Oryctolagus cuniculus: one gene and its partner. The protein of the gene in region 2 interacts with the protein of the main gene of each other region in a pairwise test. Links are inferred from orthologs where the notes say so. Each region holds a gene or a part of one and is shown on either strand. Other genes may lie near its edges.

Region 1 (4,143 bases), on a different chromosome or scaffold from region 2:
GGTATTACAGTCACCTTACAGACAAGAAAAGCACCAAATTACTAACATGCCCAGGGACACACAAACAGTAAATGTTAGGAGCCAGGATATGACTGATTGCAGAGCCAACGTTCAAATCCACTACACCACTTATTCACTTAACAAGTTCTACTGAGAGCCTGTTACCTATCAGGCACAGCTCTAAGAACTGAAGACAGAGCTGGGAACAAATCAGGCCACCGTCCTCTAATTGGGAAGAGGCCTGGGATCAGAGTAGTATGGGGATGAGAGGAAATCAATAAATAATAAAATACTGTATCTTCACCTACTTATAAACAAAGAATCAAAAGTGATAGAGGGGGGCTGGCTTCTTCTCCTTTAGGGACCAGGGAGGGCCTCTCTCAGGTGACATTTGGGCAGCAAACTGAAGCTGCACTGGCAAGAGCCAAGACCACCTTGAGGCAGGAGTGGTCCAGCTAAGGGAACAGCAAGTCTAATATCCAAGGAAAGACCAGAGTAGAGATGAGTCATGTGGGAGGAGATGAGGGATGGAAGTCAGCAGGTGCCCAATCACCTCACGTCCAGATGGGTTGGGGTAAGGGACTGGATGCAATGTTAACAGGAAGCTTTCAGGAGACTCCGAGCTAGAAACAATCTGAGTTAGCTTTCAAAAGATCACACTGATTCTCATGTGGGGTAGTCAGCCATAAGGAATACCACCTCCAGCAAAGCCACTGTTTCACCAGGTCCAGCAAGAAATACTGGGGAAGTAGACTAGGATTCACGTGCAGCTGACAAGTAGATTAGATACTCAAAGGGCCTGCAAATTCATTGCCTCTGAAAAAGACTTTTTAACATCCTTCATTCCCCTCCCACCTCCTTCTGAGTTGCATTGGGAAAAAAATTATTCTTTAGTAGCAATTAATATCCATGTTAACTAAAGATTTATTTATGAATCTCAAAGTCAGAGTTACAGAGAGAGGGGGAGACCAAGTTCCTTCATCTGCTGGTTCACTCCCCAGATGGACGCCATCAACCAGGGCTGGGCCAGGCTGAAGCCAGGAGCCAGGAGCTAAATCCAGGTCTCCTATGCTGGTGGCAGGGGCCCAAATACCTGAGCCATCTGCTGCTGCTTTTCCTAAGTCATTAGCAGGGAGCTAGAGTGGAACTGGAGCAGCTGGGACAAGAACCAGCACCCGTAAGGGGATACCAGCTTTACCCGCTACAAAGGCCCCTCTTCATTCTTAAACGTTTTGTTTAATCTACCCTGTGATTTACAATATGCCACACATACACATTCTTGAAAGGCAGAATGAACCAGGGATATCCCAGTCTAGGACTTGTTCGGGTATTCATGCGGATGCAAACAAGAGTGCGGCTTTTCTCTTCCGGTTAGCTTTCCTCTCACACTTCCCCTCTAGAACACCTTGGTTCCTTCTAACTGTGGATTTCAGTAAGGAAGTATGACGATGGGAATATGGATTTATTGCACACCCACTATATACCACGGTCTCACTAGATGCCTTACATTGAAGAATTCACTTAATCCTCAGCTACCCAAAGTGGGAACTTAAGTTCTCATTTTATAAATGAGAAAAAAAAAAATCAAAGATACCAGTAACCTGGTCCAAGGTCACATGGCTAATAAGTGGCAAAACCAGAATTCAAACCCACATCTAATTCTGAAGTTCTCGTCTTTCTATTACAGCAGCTGTCAAAAGAAAGCGGGGCTATCAAAACACACCTCCCACGCGACCCCTGTAACTTTAGCGACTAGGCTGCACCTGGGAGCGCAGGTCTCTTTCTTTCTCTCTTATGAAGTTAGGGGCGGGGGGCATGGAGAGACCCTACACAAGCACTTTATCTCGAAACATTATTTTCTACTTGAGCCTTCACAGACATGAATCCTAAAAAGTGACTCCCATGCCTTTAAAAAAAAAAACCTCTTAACAGAAATGTATTGTTTACCATAAAACAGGGCTAAACAGATGAAAGACAGAATCCGCGCCCTGAGAGCTGTTAGCAAGGAGACCCGTTCACAAACTGGGCACACGCAGAGCGCGCAGTGCACACGCACCGGCTGCACCGCGGCGGCGGCTGCGGGGGCCGCGGCAAAGGCGCCCAGCACGTGAGGGGACGGACAAGCCAGGAGTGCCCAAAAACTGTCCGGGGGTATTTCCCCGACGGGGTCCGGGACCCCGCGCGGGGGCCTGCGGGCCAGCGCCGGTCCCCGACAGCGCTCTGCGGACGCCCGCAAACGCGCACGAATGAATGGCGCGGGACGGAAGGGCCGGCCGGGCGCCGGCGCGACAGCAGGGGCAGCAGCGACGAGTTTGCGGCGCGGGGAGGTGTCCGCCGGCGGGACGCGCGGGGAGGGCCGCGGGCGCGCGGGGCCGACGGAGCGGTCGTGTGCGGGCGCCGGGGCCGGCCGCGCCATGGCGGCGGGGAAGCGGAGGTCACGCGTTACATAACCCGGCAGCTCCGGCGCGGGAGCGGGAGCCGCGGGGCAGCCGCAGGCCGCGCGAGGGACGCACGGGGCTGCGGGCCCCGCGGCCGGCGCGCCCCTCCCCCGCCCCGCCGGGCTCGAGGAGGCCCGCAGCCGCCAGGCGCGTCTCTGCGGCCGGCTCGGGCGACTCGTGTCCGGCCCTGCCCCTCCCCCACCCCGCCGCCGGCCGGGGGTCGCTCACCTTCCGCGTTGCCCCACACCACCATGCCCGGACGCGGCTGCCTGCTCCGGCTTCGCGGGCCCCGGGGCTGCGCCGCCGCACAGTGTCCTCGCCGCGGGAAAGCAGTCACGCCGCCGCGCCGCGGTCCACGCTCCCCCCACACTCGCGGCGGTCGGCCCGCGCGCGCTGACGCGCGCCGGCGCCACCTGCCCCTCCCCCCCGGCGGGCGCGCGCGCTGCAGTTCCGCCCCGCCCCGCCCCAGCTGCGGCGGCCGGCCCAGTGCGCGCACGCGCGCGCAGCCTACCAGCCGCGTCCCCCACCCCCACCAACGCGCACTCACCCCGCGCGGCGCACGCGCTCGGCTCGCGCACACACGCGCACGCGCGCGCGCGCGGCGGGGGCAACCCGGGCGCCTGGCGCGGCGCGGCAGCCCGCCCCTCCCGGCCCCGCCCTCCTCTCGCGCCGCCGCCCGCAGGGGGCAGCGCCTGGGCGACACGTGACCGTCTCGCTGGCGGGGGCAGCGTGGGTCCGCCTCCGCATCGCGCCTTCCGCCCTGCGCGCTGTCACCGCCGCGCGTCCAGTTGTGGTCGCGGGCCCTCGGGGGTGGGGGCGGCCTCTGTCGACTCGGGGCTCCCCAGGACGGGAGGACACAAGTCCGGGGACTTGAAACCCTGGTGCTGTCTCAAGCCGGGCCCCCGGCACGAGCCATTGATTCACAGCGACATCTAGCGGCGGGAGAGAGGCACGCGCTCTGACGCGCGCCTGGTCGGGGCGCCATGGAGACTCGGCCCACACGGCTCGGCCGCGGGCTCTGGGGGACTCGCGCGGTCTCCCGCAGGGCGCGGACGCCATGCTCCGTCCTGCGTCCCGCGTGGGGCCTGGATTTTGTCACACGAGGGCAGGGGTTCCGTCCCACACGCGGTCTTGGGGTTACACGGGAGAGCGGTCTTCTGATAAAAAAAGGAAAACTCGCGTGCGTGGCTCGTCACGGCTGCGTGAACAGTTCTGATCTGGGGCTTTCTACAAACAGCGCGCCGTCAGGACTGCGTCCCCGCGTCGGCCGTGCGGGTTTGTCGTTGCTCGCCGTGCGCGAGGGGAAGCCGGTGTCCGTGCCGCACTTTCCTTCGCCTCAGATACTCCGGAGGAGTTTGCCAGGGACGCGCGCCCTGGGGAGGCGCAAATATTCAGACTGCTTGTGTCTCCCCTCCCCCGCCCCATTGCTTCCGTTTTATTTTGCCATTTTACAGCCCTTGGTGAAACTACTTCGGCTTCAGTATTCTCATCGCTAACCCAGAACACTCCTGCTACTGTTCTGAGACGTCACAATTTCAAACAAGAGTGGATTTTCAACAGGTTTCCCACAAGCTGCCAACACCAGGAGGTCGTATGCTGAGATGGCCCCGAAAACCAGTGGCAACCCTCTGAATTCGGGTGTATTTTATTTAAGGGTAATTTCTAAATGGTAGTATTTCCGTTAAAAAAAAATTGGCAAAACTGG
Region 2 (3,500 bases):
GATCAGCGCAGCTCTGGCTGTTGCGGCCAACTGGGGAGTGAACCATCGGATGGAAGACCTCTCTCTCTGCCTCTCCTCTGTGTAACTCTGACTTTCAAGTAAATAAATAAATATTTATAAAAAAAGGAAATATAAAACTTTAATTAGAAAAGAACTATAAAATAAGTAACCTAGGTATTTATCTTAAGAAACCAGGAGGGAAAGGAAAATTTACCTTAAAGCAAACAGAAAAAATGTAAGGATCAGGAAACAACTGTAGTAGAAAAATAGAAAAATGTTTCAAAAAGTTGATCAAACTAAAATTTAAAGATAAATTTATTTTGGTGCAAAAAATTTTTGAAGCCCTATGGTATTCTTCAAAGATGCATTTTTATGAACTTTTTAAAGGCCCATAACAGAAAAATAATGGAGATAACAAAATTGATAAACCTTGGCTAAAATACCAAAATAAAAAAGATGTAAGTTATCAAAACCGAGAATGGAAGTGGAAACATCAATAAATTCTACAAAAAGTTAAAGGACTAACAGTAGTATTAACAACTTCATGTCAACAAATTAATGACGTGGGTGAAAGGCACAAATTCCCAGAAGATACAAATTATCATGACTGATGCAAAATAAACACAAAATTGAATAGACTTTTAACAAATCCACCCAATAGTTTGTACATAAATTATCTACAGAACCATTTTTCATAATAGCAGAAACAAAGAATGCAATCTATATGCACATAAATCAGTTACCTCACATGGCATAGAGTTGTAGTGGTTTTGTTTAAACATGGAAAACAGTCTGAATCCTCACTTTTACTATTTATTTAAAAACAACAGTTTTCCAGTGAAAATTTCTGATAGAAAAATACCTAACTGCTGACTTCTATGAAAACCCTCCATATATTTCTAACTCAAAGTATACTTTTTTTAGAGTTCAAATTGAATATTAAATTCTGAGAAAACTAGTCATACCTGTCCCTAACTTCTGAATTACATGAGATGGGATAGGGCACTGTCGACTCTCACGACCACAGAGCTTCCCAGATGAAAACCGACGAATTATTAATCTTATTGTATGGGGCTTCCTTCCATCTTGGCATACTCTAAAATAAGTGGAAATAGGGAATTAGAAAAATACTACCTAAAGATTTTTTAATGGGTAATACCTCATTCATGTAAAAGTTCGAGATTTGGCAACTAGAAGGGTATTTCAGAAAGTTCATGGAAAAATCACATTAAAAGATAAAGTTTGATACCAAAAAAATACCTTGAACCCATGTATAGTTCTTCAAGTTACACTTTCCATGTGCTTTTTGAAGATACTTTGAAATTATATATATAATACATAACTAAGTACTAAGCAATAAAGATCCCTGAATACATAAATAAATATCACAAAGTCTAGAACACCAACACTCTGAAATTGTGTGAGGCTCTCAAGTCTCACTCAGAATTGAGTGCTGGCAAATGCAGAACAGAAACAGAAATGGGACATAATTGTAACAAGCTGTCTTATAATCCATATCCAAAATACAACCAAAAGCAACATAATAAAATTTGCAGAAAATTTAAGAAATTGAGAGAATCATTCACTGACAGAAGCAAATAAGTGAAGCATGCCAACATTTTGTAAGAATGAGATTTGTATGAATGAGATTTGTAGAATGAGATTACTAAAAGCAAAATGTGAAGCAGGCATGTGGCCTGGCAGTTAAGCTGCTGGTTTGGATCCCAGCTTCCCATATTGGAATGCCTGAGGGAATCCTGACTGCTCCCAATTCCAATTTCCTGCAAATATGCACCCAAGGAGGCAGTAGGTGATGGCTCAGGCAGCTGGGTCCCTGCTACTCCCCAAGAGTCCCAAGCTTCTAGCCTTGCTCAACTCTGCCCCAGCTGTTACTTTTGGGAGATAAACCAGTAGACAGTTCTATCTCTGTCTCCATGCCACCTGAATAAGAAATTTAAAAAATCTTTTAATATTCTTATAAAATGGAATTACTTTTGTTAAGGAACATTCCCCAAATAGATCCCAGAGAGTCAGTAGTATCACCACTATCAGATTAACAGTGTTAAGAGTACTACCCTAAAAGGTAGTACTTAGGAAGGTAAGTATATATGCTTGCATATTAAAAGAAACCCATAAAGAGGTCTGCAGAGCACCTGCCATCCCATATGGGTACCGGTTCAATTCCTGGCTGCTCCACTTCCAATCCAGCTCCCTGCTAATGCTCCTGGGAAAGCAGCAAAAAATGGCCCAAGTGCTTGGGCCCCTGCACCCACGTGGGAGACCGGGAAGAAACTCCTGGCTCCTGGCTTCAGATTGGCCCAGCTCCAGCCCTTGCAGCCATTTGGGAAGTGAACCAGTGGATGGAAGACCTCTCTCTCTCTCTCTCTCTCTCTCTCTGCCTCTGCCTCTCTATAACTCTGCCTTCCAAATAAATAAACAAATCTTAAAAAAAAAAGAATTCCATCCAAATGGTCTTGGTTTTGGTGTTGAAATGAATGTGTTAATGATATGAAAAATCTACTTAAAAAGCAGAAAATCTAATTAACTGGAAAAATAAATGTAATTAAAGAAAACATTTTCCTTAGTATATGCATGGCGATGCATGAAATACCAAACACAAAATGCAAGTATTGTATATCATTAAGCAAACTAAAATTGAAGATTCTGAATTAGTAAAATTAATTTTGTAGTAAGTAATTTTTTTCTTCTCTTATTCCTTTATTATAAAACTTGATGGCTGCTTAACGGGGTTAATAAAATGTTTTAAGTGGTTCCTGAAAACATGTTACTAATTTCAGGATCTTCTAATTAAACTTGTTCTAGTAAGTAATGATGCAATTCAAAGAGTTGGATATGCTAATTAGATACATTAGAAAAAGGTTACATCCTAAGCGATCTTAAACTAGTGCCTACAGTATGGATTAAAAATTATATGGTTTTACATTCCCTTCATACCTATAATATTAACCACCATTACTCCAGAAAAAAAATTAGCACACATACACACACAGGCAAATCACTTAGATAATATTATACCTCAACCACTAAAGTAAGGGGCCATGCTGTCAGGGACAGGAGACTGGCAAGCAGAAATATGAACAAAGAGTTATACTTGCTATTTCGTGGATTTAAAGCATCAAGTCTCATTTTAGGGCTGACTCTTCAAGTAAGAGAACCTGCAAGGCATACTCATATGGTCTATGTACATGCAGAGCTTTCTGATGGCCACGTATTGAAGCACAGTCTTATATTTAGATGAGGTTGGGAAAGCTTTTTCTGCCAAGGGTCATTTGGGTATTTATAGAATCATTCAGGCCACACAGAACTATCAACTGAGAAATTAGTCTGTTGGGGCTGGCACTGTGGTGTAGCGAATAAAGCCACCACCTGCAGTTCCAGCATCCCATATGGATGCCAGTTCGAGTCCCGGCTGCTCCACTTCCAATCCAGCTCTCTTCTATAGACTGGGAAAGCAGTACAAGATGGCCCAAGTCCTTGGG

The links. The genes of interacting proteins can lie anywhere in the genome.
Region 1: the proteins of POLI (region 2) and REV1 interact in a two-hybrid assay, tested with the Homo sapiens proteins (2 studies listed by BioGRID). The link is inferred for Oryctolagus cuniculus from reciprocal best matches to the Homo sapiens genes POLI and REV1.

What each region holds. Positions count from the first base shown.
Region 1 is NC_091433.1:108,956,831-108,960,973, reverse strand, and holds the start of REV1 (DNA repair protein REV1), read right to left. Parts: upstream 2,801-4,143; 5' UTR 2,667-2,800; intron 1-2,666. UniProt on the Homo sapiens protein: Deoxycytidyl transferase involved in DNA repair. Transfers a dCMP residue from dCTP to the 3'-end of a DNA primer in a template-dependent reaction.
Region 2 is NC_091441.1:23,995,033-23,998,532, forward strand, and holds part of POLI (DNA polymerase iota), read right to left. Parts: intron 1,097-3,500; coding exon 966-1,096; intron 92-965; exon of another isoform or gene 1-91. UniProt on the Homo sapiens protein: Error-prone DNA polymerase specifically involved in DNA repair. Plays an important role in translesion synthesis, where the normal high-fidelity DNA polymerases cannot proceed and DNA synthesis stalls. Favors Hoogsteen base-pairing in the active site.